Linked DNA regions of Caenorhabditis elegans. The protein of the gene in region 2 purifies or fractionates together with the protein of the main gene of each other region. This does not show direct contact. Each region holds a gene or a part of one and is shown on either strand. Other genes may lie near its edges.

Evidence for each region.
Region 1: the proteins of syp-3 (region 2) and brc-1 purify together in Caenorhabditis elegans (affinity purification with western blotting, with the first as the bait; one study listed by BioGRID). This does not show direct contact.
Region 3: the proteins of syp-3 (region 2) and brd-1 purify together in Caenorhabditis elegans (affinity purification with western blotting, with the first as the bait; one study listed by BioGRID). This does not show direct contact.

Annotation. Positions count from the first base shown.
Region 1 is NC_003281.10:3,859,449-3,865,016, forward strand, and holds the start of brc-1 (Breast cancer type 1 susceptibility protein homolog), read right to left. Parts: upstream 3,511-5,568; coding exon 3,440-3,510; intron 3,387-3,439; coding exon 3,041-3,386; intron 2,585-3,040; coding exon 2,356-2,584; intron 2,307-2,355; coding exon 2,233-2,306; intron 2,171-2,232; coding exon 1,832-2,170; intron 1-1,831. Other genes in the region: acs-19 (Acetyl-coenzyme A synthetase), read left to right, coding at 5,057-5,116, 5,167-5,568. UniProt on the Caenorhabditis elegans protein: E3 ubiquitin-protein ligase that specifically mediates the formation of polyubiquitin chains and plays a central role in DNA repair.
Region 2 is NC_003279.8:8,662,091-8,666,200, forward strand, and holds syp-3 (Synaptonemal complex protein 3), read right to left. Parts: upstream 2,031-4,110; 5' UTR 2,025-2,030; coding exon 1,922-2,024; intron 1,869-1,921; coding exon 1,821-1,868; intron 1,778-1,820; coding exon 1,524-1,777; intron 1,460-1,523; coding exon 1,393-1,459; intron 1,347-1,392; coding exon 1,144-1,346; 3' UTR 970-1,143; downstream 1-969. Other genes in the region: mrt-1 (5' exonuclease Apollo), read left to right, coding at 1-95, 151-369, 416-670, 771-969; F39H2.3 (Aminomethyltransferase folate-binding domain-containing protein), read left to right, coding at 2,886-2,989, 3,045-3,277, 3,320-3,477, 3,548-3,632, 3,767-3,861, 3,977-4,110. UniProt on the Caenorhabditis elegans protein: Plays a role in early meiotic events; during prophase I contributes to synaptonemal complex (SC) assembly, synapsis and chiasmata formation and stabilization of homologous chromosomes pairing.
Region 3 is NC_003281.10:6,884,441-6,891,744, forward strand, and holds brd-1 (BRCA1-associated RING domain protein 1), read right to left. Parts: upstream 5,065-7,304; 5' UTR 5,056-5,064; coding exon 4,994-5,055; intron 4,951-4,993; coding exon 4,891-4,950; intron 4,842-4,890; coding exon 4,673-4,841; intron 4,630-4,672; coding exon 4,454-4,629; intron 4,446-4,453; exon of another isoform or gene 4,363-4,445; intron 4,242-4,362; exon of another isoform or gene 4,151-4,241; intron 4,137-4,150; coding exon 4,077-4,136; intron 4,029-4,076; coding exon 3,851-4,028; intron 3,798-3,850; coding exon 3,489-3,797; intron 3,364-3,488; exon of another isoform or gene 3,276-3,363; intron 3,195-3,275; coding exon 2,981-3,194; intron 2,939-2,980; coding exon 2,738-2,938; intron 2,686-2,737; coding exon 2,588-2,685; intron 2,546-2,587; coding exon 2,430-2,545; intron 1,478-2,429; coding exon 1,318-1,477; intron 1,269-1,317; coding exon 1,208-1,268; intron 1,159-1,207; coding exon 1,016-1,158; intron 937-1,015; coding exon 835-936; 3' UTR 767-834; downstream 1-766. Other genes in the region: med-2 (GATA-type domain-containing protein), read left to right, coding at 63-587; K04C2.2 (DNA polymerase V), read left to right, coding at 5,335-5,436, 5,489-5,680, 5,727-5,927, 5,984-6,175, 6,220-6,307, 6,355-6,545; K04C2.5 (INSulin related), read right to left, coding at 6,604-6,689, 6,743-6,862, 7,044-7,164. UniProt on the Caenorhabditis elegans protein: Constituent of the CeBCD complex that possesses E3 ubiquitin-protein ligase activity.

The DNA.
Region 1 (5,568 bases), on a different chromosome or scaffold from region 2:
CATTTACTAGGTAACATCATGATGCCACGGGAGAAGAAATCCGGCGAACGCGATGAGAAGAAAGTGGAGAGTTCAGTTTTGAGATGCTCTTCGTCGTCGAATTGCTTGTCGCGCATGTAGTCACTGAGAGACAAGAACAAATGGTAGTCGGTTGGTGCAAGATCTGGAGAATATGGTGGATGCGGTAAAACAGTCCAACCAAGATCTTGCAGCTTTTGGAAAGTCTTCTTGGCGACATGAGGCCTAGCATTATCGTGAAGAAAATATAGTTTTTCATATTTTCCGTTGGTCTTTTCTGCAACTCGGTCCAATTGGGCACAATAGTAATCAGCAGTGATAGTTTTATTAGTTGGCAACAATTCCCAGTGCACGGGTCCTTGAACACCCCACCAGACACAGATCATAATCTTTTTTGGGTGAAGATCAGGCTTTGGCGTCGGTATTCCTTTCTCACCGATCGGAAGCCATTGACGTTTTCTGGAATGGTTAACATAGAGCACCCACTTCTCATCTCCAGTAACCAGATTGTTCAGCCAATCGAACTTTCGACGAAAAGTTAGAAGTTGAGTACAAACGTTGACCCGAGTGAGCTTCTGTGATGCCGAAAGTTCATGAGGCACCCAAATTCCAAGTTTTGAAGTAAAACCAAGGCGACCCAAGTGACGTGCAATTGTGCTATGACAACACTCAAGCTTCTCTTCCATTTCACGAAGACTAAGACGAGGCTCTTCCTCCACCAGCTTCACTAGGTCTTCTTCATTTAACTCTACCGGTCGCCCAGAACGTTCTATTTCTTCGAGACTGAAGTCGCCGTTCTTGAACTTTTGAAACCAACTCTTTGCTGTATTATAAGAGAGTGCTCCCTCACCCATCGCACCGCATATGTTTCGTTCCGCTTCCATTGCTGAATGACCAAGACGAAATTCATAAAGAAGAAGCAATCTAACGTCTCGACGTTCAAGTTTGATGATTGTCATCGTGGCAAAGTAGAAATGGATGAAATGAATCTTTTCTGAAAGGGGACGACCCGACCTTGACACGACCTACGATGAAAAAATTTTAAAACTTTCTAGAAGTTTTGGAAAAATATTTGAAAAAAAGTACAAAAACTTATGGGACAACCTGATATTTAAAAAAAAATTGCTTAAAAATTTATTTTCAAATTTTTTCTTTAAAGTTATGCTCGAAATTATAACAAAAATGGAAATTTTGAATGAAAAAATATTTGCATTTTCTCAAAATTATGTTTTTTTTTCGGGTTCAGCACTTTTTTATAAAACAATTCAACTTTTTTTAAAATTAAAATTGAATTTTTCTGTTGAAAACCATATATTCCAGGGGTGTGCGGCAAATCGCAAAATTTGCCGAGCTCGGCAAATTCGGCAAATCTCTTTGTTCAATATTTGCCGAGCACGGCAAATTCGGCAAATTTGCCGAGCTCGGCTAATTCGGCAAATTCGGCAAATTTGCCGTGCTTAACAAACTCGGAAATTTTTGATATTTTTTGATGTTTTTGGACCACCAAAACTACCGAATTCTTAACACACATCTGGCTTCGGAATCAGTTCCGTGTAGTATGTCTGCTTAAGCATCAAAATAACTCAATTTTGTGTCATTTTACTGAATTTTTGGCGAAAAAATCAGTAGTTTTAGTCGAAATTGTACTGTCAAATTTTTGACGTGTGCGGCAAATTTCGAAATTTGCCGAGCTCGGCAAATTCGGCAAATCAACTTTTTTGAAATTTGCCGAGCTCGGCAAACGACAAATTCGGCAAATTTGCCGCACACCCCTGATATATTCTGCACACAATGATTTTCCTATATTTCTTACACTTGTAGCACAGGTAACATTTGCCAGATCATCTTCATCAATTTGTAGTTCTCCTTCAGAATCTTCTACAACTTCATCATCATCTGATGCTACGACCACTGGCTTTTTCACTGCAGTATTTAGATTCAAATCGATCAAATTTTGAGTACTTTTGAAAACTTCAGGCTTTTGGGCTAGTTTTTGGATTGGCTCAGGAGGAGTTTCCAGCGATTCAGAAGCTGTCATAATTTTTATGTTTTCAAGATCTTGAGAACTCGCAAAGGATACTCTTCGATTCGCTGGTTTCTCTGATTTTTTCGGTGGCGCCACATGGAATTTCTCCATTAGCTGATTGATATTCTGCAAAAAATATTTTATTTCAAAAATTATTTTCCTCTAAATAAGCCCGAATCATCACAAACATTTCGAAGAAATTGTCGCATCGTCGGCATTAATTGGAAAAGTGCATCGATTTCATCAATCTCTGTCGAATTTTCTGGAAAATTGGCAAAAATTAGCGAATTTTTTTTTGATTTTTGACCAACCTCGGAGGGTATTTATGTATTCTTCAATATCAACATTTTTCAGTTCTTCTCTTGATATTTTATACGTTTCTGTAGAGGTTTCCACGTCTTTTTTCAATTTTTCCAGCGGGAATACTCGACTTTGGAGCTCTACAGGTTGTTTTGTGGCTGGTTCTGGCGGTTCTACCGGTTCTGCAGGCTCCTCGGCGAATGCGCTCGGCGGTTGTGGTCGACTCGGTCGCTTTCGGCGCTGAAAATACAGATTTAATGTTAATAGAGTCAAAATAGCCCAAAAAGGCCGAATTTTTTAATGATAACTTCGAAAAACGGACTAAATTATGCAAAAACTCAAAATTTTTCAACTATTTAGCTAATTAGCAATTTGTATTGCATTTTTAATTTTTTTTCCCAAAAAAATACACTAGAAAATGTAACTATAGAGTCCAGTTTTCCAAACAAAAAAAAAGTAAAAAATATTTCTTTTCTGCTTTTTTCGTGTTTTTGACGAAATTTTTTCGCAGTCCGCTATGATTTTCAGTCAGAAATTAGCAAATCGATGAAAAAAGTGTGTAATAAAATTATTAAAAATTGATTTAATCGCTATACGACACAAAAAAAGGTGAAAAATGTTTTTATTTGACATTTTAGAAATATTTTTAGTGATTTTCTTTTGGTTTTAATTGGTTTTTTGTGCCAAAAAGCATACCACTGGCAAAAAAGGTATAGCAAAATCTGGAGCGCATCGTTTTCCATCATTCTCTGGAATAATCGTGATATCCAGCGGCATTTGACTTTCCATGAACATTTTCTCTGGCGGCAGTGACTTGAACGTATTCATATTCTCAATATCTTTTTTAAATGCTTCTGATAGCTTTAAATAGTTCTGCACAGCCATTGTAATTTGATAAGTATCTCGACAACTTCGCTTATCCAGTACACTTCTACAAATTGGGCATTGAACTTTTCGTTTTCGTTCGAAGCAAGCGTTAATGCAAGAACGACAGAAAATATGGAAACATGTGGACAGAATTGGATCTTTGTATGTTGAACAGCTGAAAAAAAACCAATTTAAGGTTTTTTTGTTGATTTTTTGAAAATAAATTACCAAATTCCACATTTCAGTTCTTTTTGCAGTCGTGCCACTGTTTCTGTGATCCTCAGTGCAACATCTGCCATCTGAAATTAAATTTTAAACAAATAACATTTCATTTTAATTGAAAAATCAATAAAGTAGGTTAAAATACAAAATATTTGATTTCAAAACTCCCGCGCTGAGGGGGCATCAGAGAACACTCATTGCAAACCTGCTCCACTGACAATCGGGGCGGAGTAAAGCGGAGAGGAGAGAGCGCCCCGCCTCCCCGCCGGTGCCTATATTTCAGTCGGTGCCCCCGGTCTTCGCCAGCATCCCCGCTTTTCCTCTCCCTTCTCTGATGACTCTCTTGTTTTTCCATATTCTATCAAGGAAATTCCCTTTGGAAATCCTGAGACTTCAAGCTACGGAGAATATTTTTTTTTAGAAAAAGAAAGAAAAAAAGAAGAAAGAGTGCGCGAAAACGATGCTGCTTTTTCGGTTTTCTATCTTTTTTTCTTCTTTTTCGGCTTTGAAAAAAAAAACATTTTCTGGATGGTAGCTCTTTTTGGGAAAGCTTTATGCAGTAGTTTTCAGTTAGTTTAGCTGCTAAATATCATTTTTGCAAGGTTCCGTTCAAACAAATTTTGCAAACACGAATTTTTCTTTTTATAATATTTTACTTTAATATTCTGCTTTTTAAAAAAATTTTAAAACCAAGATTAAAGATATATAATCTGCTTTTTTCCTCAAAATCTAGATGATAAAATTTTTAGAAAACTAATGTAGTTCAAAAAACTCCACATCTTCTCTTAACTCAAAAAAAAACAATTTTTATAAAAAGAGACATTTTTGCCGTTTGTCGCGATAACTTGCTTTATTAAAATGCCAAATGTGGTTTTTTAATAAAGTAATTAATTAATGTTATTGATTATTCAAATTTTGAGAAAAAAACATAATCAAGCCTTTAAAAATCATTAAAAAAGCAGAAAAAAAACACAAAACACACTATAAAAATTAATTTTTTAAAAAAATTTAATTGAGCAATTAGTGCAATTTTTCGTAACGGTGCTTGCGTACTGTGCACTTGATCCGACGACATCTACAGTACTAACTTTCTCATCTTATTTTTTTAAACGTTTCCACGTCAAATTTTCAACTTTCCCGGCGGTAATTTTCAGATTTTCATAATCAATTCTGACCAAAATACCAGCAAAACTCTGCACTCGAAGGTCAATTTTATTTATTTTCTCTCACTTTTTCCTCTCTCCGCCGTCCCCTTTCGTCCACCGTTTGACCCCATTGATCACACACAACCGTAGATTTGTTTTCTGATCGTTCTTCGAAATTCGTTTATCAGAGAACTGTTCAAACCGAATTTTAGGAGTAGTTTGAAATATAGAACGTGACTTTACTGGTAACAAATTGTGAGAAATCTAATAAATAGAAGAAAAAACGAAACGAAATTGTATTTCTCGCGTTGTGTTATTGAGTTTGTTTTCTCCAGTTTTCCTTTTTTTCTTTCTATTTTCTTTTCTTTTCCAAGTGTTTGTTCTTTGTCCTGCTCACGGTTTATGGTGCCATATTTCGCATGTTTTACCGCATTTTCTTATCATAAAGTGCCTCATTTTCAGGTTATTGCATCTCATCATGTCGGACGTTCGCGTCAAGTTCAACCTAGCCAACGATGGAGAAGGTCTCGACGAGGATGTAAGAATTTATTTCTTCGAAAGAATACTTTTAAAACCAATAGATTTCAGATTTTCCTCCCTCCAGCCCCACTCCTTGCCGGTGCTCACTGTGCTGGCCTTCAATCTTACCACGATTTGTACCGTTCCTCGATCAACGATGCTGACGAGTTCTGGCGTACCGTCTCATCTGAACTCCATTTCGAACAAGGAACCTCTAAGGGTCTCGAATGGAATTTCGACTCGAAAGCTGGAAATGTCTTCGTCAAGTTTATGGATGGAGCCAAGACTAACATCTCGTACAACTGTTTGGAAAGAAACATTAAACGTGGATATGGAAACAAAATCGCCTACATTTTCGAAGGAAACGAGCCAACCGACACCTCCACCTGGACATACAACGAGCTACACGCCCAAGTAGTCCAATTCTCCGCTGTTCTGAGATCTCATGGCGTCAAACGAGGCGATGTGGTT
Region 2 (4,110 bases):
TGGATGACCGAAATAAAATTTGGAATTATTTATTTGGATAACACCTATTTTTCATTGGATATGCCGTTTCCTGAACGATGCGAGGCAGAAAAAATGTAAGAAATCTAATAATTCGCTATTATTTAAATTTTAATCAGTTTAATTTTTTAGACTCCTGAAGGCTATTGAAGCACATCCGCATGAAAATATTGTTATTCCCTTGCATAGACTTGGGCGTGAAGAATTGATTCAAGCAATATCTCGAATATTGAATGAACCCATTATGGTTTATGATGAAAGAAAAGTTATTTCAGATTTATTAGACTTTTCATCAAACTGTGGAGTTTTGAAACAGTATCGAGATATTAAAGTTATCAAAAAAGGAAGCTAGTACGGCTTTCCATTTTTAAACACATCAAATAATCCTTTATTTTAGTTGTGAAATATCTCAAAATTCGGTGATAATCGACATATCGATGCTCTATTATACGTTTGGAAATGGTGTCAACGACGACGAGGGAATCATTAGAATTCCATATTCCGACCACTCTTCAAGAAGTGAAATTCTTAAATTTCTCAGTCATTTTCACTTTAAAACGATTACGCCGTGTACTAAAAAGTATTCTATCATTGAGCTGGCATCTTTGGAAAATGCAGGAAAACGATCAGAAGAGGACCACACAGTAGAAAAGTAAGTTAGTCTCATTATTGAAGCACGACTTTCGAAAAAGGGAAAGTTATTCATATTCCCAAAATTGTGAATTTTAATTAATAGGAACATCTTACTTTAGGACTCAATCTACTATCCAAGGAACACCCATTTCACAACTTCAAGAAGACCCTCTACCGCCTGGAGTTGTATTTCGAACGAATACATGCGATTTTATGGATATGGACTTGGACAATTGGCCGGAAGGACCTCCGAAAACATTTGCGGAAGCTATCGCTCGGGCCAATAATTCAAGAAGGCCGAGAAATCCAGGACTATAATTTATTAAAACTTCACAACGGTTGATGCAATAAAATTAAATATTACATGATAAGCATTCGACATGATGAAAGTTTAGGATAACAGAACGATTTGAAAAAAGATTATTCAATTTTTAATATCATTACAGTTCGATTAACAGTTGCCCACATTTTGGCTGTTCTGATTCTTTTAATTCATGTAGAAAGTCGGGCTTTCAGAGCTTCTTCTTGTAGACGACATTTTTGGTACTCACTGCGCAGTTTGGCAACTTGATAATGGAAAATAATGCGAAGAGTGTTGCGCTCTTTGTAGGTCGCTCCACATGTTGGACGGAGAGAAGGAATCATTTCAGAAATAGTCGATGATTGATCAGCGATGGCGACTTCTAGTTGTTTCTCTGCAAGTTTAGTTGATAATACCATCAAAATTTTTTTTCAACTTACTTTCAATGTTTAATTCATCCAGATTGTTTTTGAGTGAATTGAATTGACCATTCATCGAATCATGTGACTGAAAATATAACATTCAGAAACCCACTCTTTTTAAAAATTATAAAGTTATCGAGCAGACTTACCAAGTTGTTCATCGATTTAATTAATGAATTGAAGTGATCTCCGAACTGTGTACCCGCACTGTCCACATCCTCGTTTTCCAAATAAGACATTAGTTCATCATAGGCTTTTTCTTGTCTCTCTTCCCAGTCTCTTTTCTGTTCAGACAGTTTATTGTCAGTTGCTGTCAAATCCTGAAGCTGTCTTTCTAGACTTTCTCGTTGAGCAGCACATTTAACCCTGTCTTCAGCAATTCGCTCGGTGAATGAAGTTTCGGCTGAAGAAAATTTTAAAGTTGAGCCTTTTTCAATCTGTCAAACCTTCAAGCTGTTGAGTTTCGATTTGCCTCATTCCTTTTTCTATGGCCTCTGAAAATGTATTTTTAAATTCATATTTCATTGATGTTTGCCTCAAAACATACCTCTTTCCCCAGCGAGCGAGTTGGTGAACTCAGTGAGCTGCCCGCAGAAAATTTTGAATCGGTCACCATTTACTGCCTGACTGACAAGCTTTTCGAAATTCATTTATCTCTGAAATTGGAGATATTGAAATGGCCAATTCACAATAGAAAATAAAAATATTTAAAATTAACAAAAAACCGTAGCGTGTTTGCGATCGTTGCGAGACCCACATGACTTAAGAACAACGTGAGCCTTTAAACCGTATGTTTTCATGAACAGTTTTATTTTTATTCACTCATTAAACACACAAAATATTCATTTTTTAAATATGTATTCGCTTCGACAATTTTTAATTCAAATTAATTTTATTAAATTTAAGCAACAACCTACACTCAAAATAAAAAAACTGCGTGGCCTGTACTGCAGAAAACCTCATTTTTAGGCCCCGCCTTTTTCTCGTCCACTCACGGACAAAAGGCAAAAATTTGGGGACCAACCAATATCAGGCCGCCGACATCCTACGGGTTCCGCGCGCCGCTAGGATTAACTCGCTGTGGGCGTGGCGAGCTGTCTCCGCCCGCTGCGAGTTAAACATAGCGGCGCGCGGAACCCGTAGGATGTCGGCGGCATGATATTGGTTGGTCCCCAAATTTTTGCCTCCACTCCGTGAGTGGACGAGAAAAAGGCGGGGCCTAAATATGAGGTTTTCTGCAGTACACGCCACGCAGTTTTTTTATTTTGAGTGTAGTTTGTCCCAAGCTTAGGCAAATTATAATTATTCCCAGCTTTCAATGCGACGTACTTGGTGCTTCATCCTAAATAGTTTGCTGCTAATCCAAGCGCTTGTTTTCTTTTTCAAATTTCCTCGCTCTACTTGCGGCCGCGGACGAAATTATTCGGCACGGCCATATGATCATCCCCGTTGCGAAATTTACTCTAACATATTTTAATATGTTTTCTTGTGATTATCAAACTTTTTTACAGATGTCAACACAAAGATTAATTAAATTGCCTCATAGAGTTCTTTTGAAACTTCATGGCTCTGACACAAACGCGTTTCTTCAAGGTTTAATTACAAATGATGTGACGTATGTTTTTATACTCTAAAAATTACAGCGAAAATGATTACATCTTATTTTGCAGAAAACTTCAAACTCAAAATGGACTTGCTGCTTTTTTGCTCAACACAAAAGGGAGAATTGTTGAAGATGTTCTTCTATGGAGACGAGGAACTGATGATTTGTTCTTGGAATGTTCTAAAGAAAATAAAACTATTTTAACAAAAGAAATCTTGAAATATCGATTGAGGAAACAAGTTGAAATCACCGAATCTTCCGATCAAATATTTTTCACAGAAGATGTATCGGACAAACAAGGTAGAAAATGAACGTCAAAACTTTAATAACATTTTATTTTAGCTCACCGCGATCCTCGATTTTCTGGTTTTGGAGCTCGCGTTTTCGGTAATCCGTCTTCATCGGAAGTTAGCGAAAATCGAGAAAAATATGAAAATTTGCGACGATCTGCTGGAATTGCAGAAGGATCTCAAGAATTGGCGGAGTTGCTTCCTTTTCAGGTAAAAATACAACAGAAGCAATTTAAATGAAATATTTCTAAAAGTTCATTTTCAAATATTATTTTTTAAGGCAAACGGTGATCTGCTCAATATGGTTTCACTTGATAAAGGATGTTATGTTGGACAGGAATTAACTGCAAGAACTGCTCATACAGGTTACTTCAACTAAATTTAGATATTTGGAGACGTGAAATCTCACTTTCCTTTTTATTTAGTAACTTGTCAATTAAATTTTTGTAAAACCCACAAAACTAGTTCAATTTGATTTTGAAAAATTAAATTTTGACAGGTGTTATCCGTCGACGAATCTTACCATTTGAATGTGAAGGTCAAGTCAAAATTGGAGCAGAAGTTCTGGACGAGAAGAAAAATAAAGTCGGAAAGGTGTGTTTAAAAGTTATAGTGATAAAAAATTCATCTAAACGTTGGAATTATCTGGAGTCAATTCACTGTCAAAAATTGAAAAACAATAGTTTCTGTTCAATTAAAAAATCTTCAGATTATCTCTTCTGACACAACTCGTTGCCTGGGAATTCTTCAACTTTCTTCATTCAAATCTCAAAAATTGACAGCTGATGGAGTTTCGTTAACCGCAAAGCAACCTGAATGGATGCCTGATAAGATTTTAGCGAA
Region 3 (7,304 bases), on a different chromosome or scaffold from region 2:
AAAGAGCCCAAAGAATATCAGTTTGAGTCAGTATTCATACTTTATTCCTTCTCTCTATCACTATGGCTTATCCGTACCCAGTTTTCAATGCTGAAAATGTCTTTGACAATACCCAGCAACAAGTTGGATTCTATGATTATTCAACTCCATTCAATGGTACATACTCCTTCACTACTGACTATTCTTATTATAATAACTACTATGACTATGTCAATACTTATGCTTCTTATTATCCAACTGCAATGGATTCTTCATCTTTAAATATTTCACCAACTACTGGAAGTCCTAATTCTTCCCATTTCACCACGTTTACTCATTTTTCTACTCCATCTACATCTCCATCTACCTCTACTCAAAGTTCAACTCCACCGAGCAATTCTGATAATAAGAAGTCATTTCAATGCTCAAATTGTTCAGTAACTGAAACAATTCGTTGGAGGAATATTCGATCAAAGGAAGGAATTCAATGTAATGCTTGTTTTATTTATCAACGGAAATATAATGAGACTCGTCCAGTCACTGCCGTTAACAAATATCAAAAAAGAAAATTAAAGGTACAGGAAACGAATGGTGTAGATTCTTCTTAATGTAAATTGTATCATTGTAAATTGTATAACTCAATTGTAATTTTCTTGTTTTAAGCCGGTAAATTGTTTTTAATTAATATGATCTCATAACTTATATTTATATCTTGTTCTCGATTTTAATTACATCATAACTTTAATTGCATGGATTGGATGCCGTTGTGTATAAAATAACACTTCAAAAAATAATCATTCATATTGCAATTTTACAATAGAAACGCAAAAGAAAATATTTTAAAACGGAAAATGGTTAATGTGGTGGTGTTGTGATGGAGCATCCAAGAATCGCCTCTATTAACCACTGCTCGCTGACAAGATTGTACTTTGTGCAGTCGCGGAATTTGTCTCCTATCTGTAAAGAGAAATAAAAATGTCACCAAACTGAAACTACCGAATCCATAATAACAGGAAAACTCCTTCGTTAAACTTACATCATGTGTCAAGCTGTAGAGCACAAAGTTTGGTTTCAAGTTGGCATTATGGTACGGCGGTGGATCTTTTTCGTCAATAATGGGCTCCCTCGCTGCAGCTTGACCACCGGCAGATCGAATAATTTCAAAAAGAGCTGGGCGATCTGAAATTGAAAATTGAAAAAATTAAAATACTGTAAATTAGAATCGTACCGAGGAAGTTATACTTTGGCTTTGGAATGAAAAATTTGCAACCGGCGAACAATTTTGGTTGCTGAAAAATTTGGTTGTATTTTTTTCTTTAGTGGAAATCAAATCCGTACCATTTTAGTGATTGTCTTCTTCCATTGTTCAATAGTATTTTCAAATACTTCACCTTCCATCCATCTAACTTTCTGAACCATATAAGAACGATCATCATCGACTTTCGATGGATCAATAATGCACGCTCTCAGCCAATCTCGACTAACTATCATTCCCGATCTGAAAGTATGAATTTCCGCTTTGAAATTTCATATTTTCACATAGATTTTTTTGGCTCTCATACTGCACCCTTGCGATTGTTTGCAATTTTCCCATGGGATCAGTCTATAACTAGACAGGGAAACGCATTTTATAATACAATCGAGCCACTGTGAAACTGAAATGAAGGTGTTTCTGGTGAGTTATATACTACTTTTGCTAATATTCAAAACTAATTTTGCAGTGTTTCCTTCTTCTTCTTCTTTCAATTTATGTTAATGCAAAGAAAGCAGAATGTCGAACTGATTCGGATTGCTCGGATAATAGGCTTTGTGTTTATGGACAATGTCTTTTTTCAAATCATGCAAGTGGTGGAGTTGTTATCACTGACGAAAATGCTGATGAACCTTGTACTTTTGACTGTCCAGTTGGAAAAAAATGTGTGGCAGGAGCCTGTGTTCGTGCCTAATTATCTTTTTATCTCCAATAAATATGTAATGCATTGCGACCTGATTTGAAGGAATGATAGAAAATAGACCATAATTACCGAATATAACTGTTAAAAAATTATTTCAGCTTTGGAAAAATAATAAGTTCTGATTAGTTTTGAACTCTCGTGCAAATGAATGGCTAAATTCGAACGCTTTTCGTGATTTTTGCTTGATGTTCCGAAGATTGTCAGATTTTCATAAATTTTTTAAGCAAAAAAAAAGATGAATAAATGTGAAATTATCGACTTTCAATTCAATTTTGAAGTTTCAGCGAATTTCTTTCTGATTATCATGCGTTTTCTTACGAACAAATGCCTTCCATTTATTTGCGCGAGAATTTAAAAATAAGTAGCCCATTTTTTGAAAAATTTCGAAAAAATTAATTTCTTAACAGCTATAGTCTGTCATTACGGTCTATTTTCTGACATTAAAAATCCCAAAATGACTATCTCCCACTTTTTAGGATAATTTTAAAAACCTACTTTATGATAGCTTTTAAAATTTCTCCAATATGCTCCTTGTTAATATTGAGCACACGAGTTTTCAAATCAACGGTGACTACCACATGCGTCGGAGAATCCATATCAGCAGGAACTATCTGAATAAATTTATTTTATTTTTAAAAATTAATTGTTTTTACATTGATTTTTCCGGGAAGTTTTCGTTTTTCAGATTCAGTGAGCATCTTCTCATCTATGAGTTGAACGAAATGAAGACGAGATTTTGGAGGGGCGACGACTGAAAATTCAATTTTTATCACGAAGAATAAAATTGTCAAAAAATTTCTTACCAGGCTGTAAAACTCTCTGTTCAGTCTTGAATTTTTCGATTATTTTCCTAATTTTCGGATCACTTTTAGCCATTTCTTCGACAGTTTTTCCAGCAATATTTCGAATTTTGATGCTGGCACCTTTCGATAAAAGATATTCAACAATTTGAGTATTTTGACGGCGAACAGCCTCGTGAAGCGTTGTTTCTAATGTTGAGCCGCCTGAATTCTTCGTCAAGAAAGTTGATAGAAGTTGTTTCTTACATGAAGCATTAATAACTGCACCCGCTTCAACAAGTATCTTAACAGCTTCCAATGAGCTATTCTCAACTGCCACGTAAAGTGGTGTCTTTCCGTCTTCTTTCTCATTTACGCACGTTCCTGCCTCTACAGCACTTCGAAGTTGAGGAATACGATTATTGCGAATTGAATTGACCAGGACAGCTTCACCACGACGAGTACCATAAGAACTGCGACGCTGAACATTTAAAAAATTGCAAAAAGTTTGCGAAAATGTGAAAATTGGAATGAAGGCGTAGAGATCAAGTTCAATTTTCAAAAAAAAAAGTCAAGCCACCTAGGGGACTCGAACCCCTGACCTTAAGATTAAAAGTCTCACGCTCTACCAACTGAGCTAAGGAGGCCATGCGTGCTGTGATGCAAAGACTTGTTAAGTAAGGGACAGAGGCGCAGACAACAAGATAATGTGGACGTTGAGCGTGACAGAGTAGAAAGACGAACGCCCGAAAACTCTTTTATTGAAGTCACTCACTTGCTCTGATTTCACACTCATCGACTTCTCTCCAAAACTCATCGGTGATTGAGATCGTCGTTCGATTTTATCGGATTTAATCGAATTTTTACGACTTCTAGACGTCGATGGTACTTCTTCTGGTTCTTCAGGTTCCAATTTTGGTTGTTTCTTGGCGCTCGCACTCATTGAAGCTTGCCGTTTTGTGAGAGGAATCGCTTTCGAGAAAATATCTTCTTCGATAATTTCGGCTTTAACTGGATTACTGCTACTTCCGAAAGCTTGAGCATACGTTGCAACACCAGTTGCTGCTGGAGCAGTTGAGCGACGCTGAAGAATTTCCGTTAAAGTTCTGAAGCGTCTTTAAAGTGAAATTGTCATACCTCAATAAACGGCGTCAGTAAATCATTTTGATGAGTTCTCTGCGGAACTTGCGATGCAAAAAGATCAACTACAGGCGCAGCCGGTTCATTTTTGACGGAAGTTTTCAGTATCGATGACCTTTTGGGTTTTCTCTCATGAACACTGACAGTTGAAGGGCGTTTTGTCGAATTACGCGTTCTAAAAGTAAATAAAATTCAATTAATTGAAGCAATGTAACAAACTCACGGAGAAGCTTCTTTGCTGTAGTCGTGGAATATATCCAATTCTGGAGAGTTTGAATTTTCCCTGAATTTACTGGGAAAATATGAAAAAAAGTTCTGCGTTCGGGGGGAATCGAACCCCCGTCGAATGCTTGGAAGGCATCCATGCTGACCATTACACCACGAACGCGGCATGGGAAACCAGCTATTAAATGAAGAGACATTTCTACTTGAAGCCACCAAATAGACCGCATCAGGTTTGTAGAAGAAGCATGACGGGAATCGTTTTCTCGGAAAGATATCCCCGATATGTCGCGTTCGTGGTGTAATGGTCAGCATGGATGCCTTCCAAGCATTCGACGGGGGTTCGATTCCCCCCGAACGCAGATTTTTTCGACTTACCGGTTTTCATCTTTACACATCAAATCATCATCCTCTTCACCAAGTTGTCCCATCTCGTCTGGCATATGAGCTTGCGTCTCCAGGAATTTCTCTACGGCATCAGCTGGAGTTTTTTCTTTGTTAAAAATGTTTTGTGTACAGGCAAACTCTGCTTGAGTTAGAGATGTTGTTCCGACCTAAATGAGAATTTAATTTTCGAGCTTTTCACCATTGACTTACTTTCTGTAAAAGGTCGTTTAGTTCAGACAAAGTATCAAAGCACGTTTTCAGCATATGAGCTTCTGTGATTTTGGATGTGTCTAGTGGGAAAGCACAACTCGGACACATGTGTCGAGCCACTGAAGAGCGTTTTCCAGACGGTTTCTGTTGAAATGTGGCGATACATTCCCTGAACATAAACTGAAGTTATTGACAATTTATTAGGTTGCAATACCTACCAGCAATAAGCATGTTTGCAAGATGATCCGAGATATTGCAAGTCTCCCCTCGGTTTTTTGCTGAAATTTTATTTAAGAGGCAAAATCTTGTACAACAACTTACCATTTAACACACTCGATAGCTGTTCGAAACGTTTCCAATGCTTTTTTAGTGTTTTCAAACATTATTTGACGCTGAAACAATAATTAAATCAAACAGGAAAAGAATAAAATTCGAAAATCGCACTTGTTTGTTTGCGCGTCAGGTGTGGTGCGTGCGCACAGAATACATTTTATTTTACGAACAAAATATTTTACTTCTATTTCTTTTTCTTTCATTAAACTAAAATTACATTTATTTTTTGTGTTTTATAGAAAAATACAGTTTACTTGGTCTGGAAAATTCACGAGAATGATCCTCTCGTCAATTTATTCTCTTTTTAATTATAATTTTAAGTTTTAAGCATGAGACCGCCAAGTGAATTACTCGATATTATTTCAAAGCTTGCTGAGCTCGATCCATTAGTCAGAAAAGGAGCAGTTAGACAGCTTTCAAGCAAACAAGAGGTAGGAAAAAAGTAGCTGAAATAAATGCCTAATTAAAGTGTTATTTTTTTAGGAATTATCCGATAACGAGCTCAACACATATGTGATTGAACGTCTTATTTCTGGATGTGCTTCAGCTCGTGCTGCTGTTCGTTTGGGATATACAACCGCTTTGGGTACTATTTTAATGACAAAAGCAGGCGAATCATGGGAACTCGACAAAATATTGGCCGTTGCAGATAAAAAGATGGACCTGGCAGAAAAGGTTGGGATTGTAAGTTCCTTTATTTGTACTAAATGTTTCGATTCAGACTGTTGGTACCGGACATGCAATTGGACATTATCTTATTCTTGTCACATATTGTCAAACCAGAAAACTCAAAGAAGCAGAAGCTACAAAAATTGTTGAGCATTCGAAGAAAATCAGAGACTTTGCTCCAAGCTTGGCATTTTCACAGATTAACCTTCTATGCAGTTTGGCTACAAAGACAAAAGAAAGTGTTTTCCAAAAGGTAAATCAATTTACTGTTTGAACAAAAACAAATCTATATTAATTTTTAAATTTCAGAGTGTATCCCCAGCCATCGAAATGAATTTGGAAGGTCTCAGCTCTCAGTTCACACCGGAAAATGTCTACCTGGCACTTCGCCTTCGTAATTCTCATTCAACAGTGGTTGCAAAATACGCAAAGTTTGTAAAGAAAGACGGATCTATTCAATTTTCTGATGATCAGTATCCTAAAATTTTGGCTGCTTTAAAGGTTAGTTTTCTATTTTAAAATTTTTATAAATACTTTATTTTCAGCGCTGTGACTTCGCCACAGTTCAAGTATTTCTTCCACTTCTCATCAAAGCATCAGTTGAATCATCTGGTTTTGATAAAATGTACCTGAGTAAGTTATACTTTTGAAAAGTTTTTTTTATAAATTCTCATTTTCAGAAGTTCTCGAGCCATGGGCCCTTTCAAGCAACGAGACGAAAGTTTTCGATAGAATTCTCACGATTGTCACTCAATTCTTTGATTTTGGAGGCGATGTGAAATCAATTGTTGTAGTATTTACTAAAGAAGTTTTGAATCGAATGGAGACCGCTACACGTGGAAAAGGACAATTCAGATTGATGAGTAAAAAGGTAATATTCAAGAGTCTTTATTGTTCAAATTTACAAAAATTAGTGAGATAGAAATTATCTAAAGGTAAACTGGCTTTTGTGATCGAATATGTCTCTGAATTTGTTTGATTGCTTTTCGGAGAAGAGCCTGGCAATCTTCCGGTACTGAAAAAAGATTTTTTAAAACTCAAGCTTTCTTCTAAACATCGAAAACATACATTTCTTGCATTGTTGTGTAAGTTCCTCATTTTCCACACAATATTCGGATGTTATTTCACACTCGATAGAACATAAATCGAGTACAGGAAGCCAGACAGCATCAGAAAATGGATCACCGCCTGTAAAAAAAGTGTTGGAACAATATTTAATTTCTTGTATCTTAAAAATGTATGCTGGTAAATTATGAAGAATTAATTCAGAAATCGTTTACAACATTTCTGAAATATACTATAAGATTATTCTTTTGTGTTATTACATAATACAGATTAAATTTGAATTTAAATTGATTTTCTAACTTACATAATTTAGAGTTATGAAACAAAAACTGTGAAACCGATTCGTACTGAATCCGCCTTTTAGACGCTTGTCCATTGATTGCCGCGATCAGAAAAATTCCGATAATAATTGAGCATTTTGTCATTTTGAGTTCCAAATTTAGTATTGCCAAAGTGATGAAAAACTAATACGTAGTTCAACAAAAAGATGAGAAATAGATGAAAGAAAGAAGAAAAAGAAGAAGCATTGTTCATTGAATACCACAATGAACTGTGTAAAGTAACG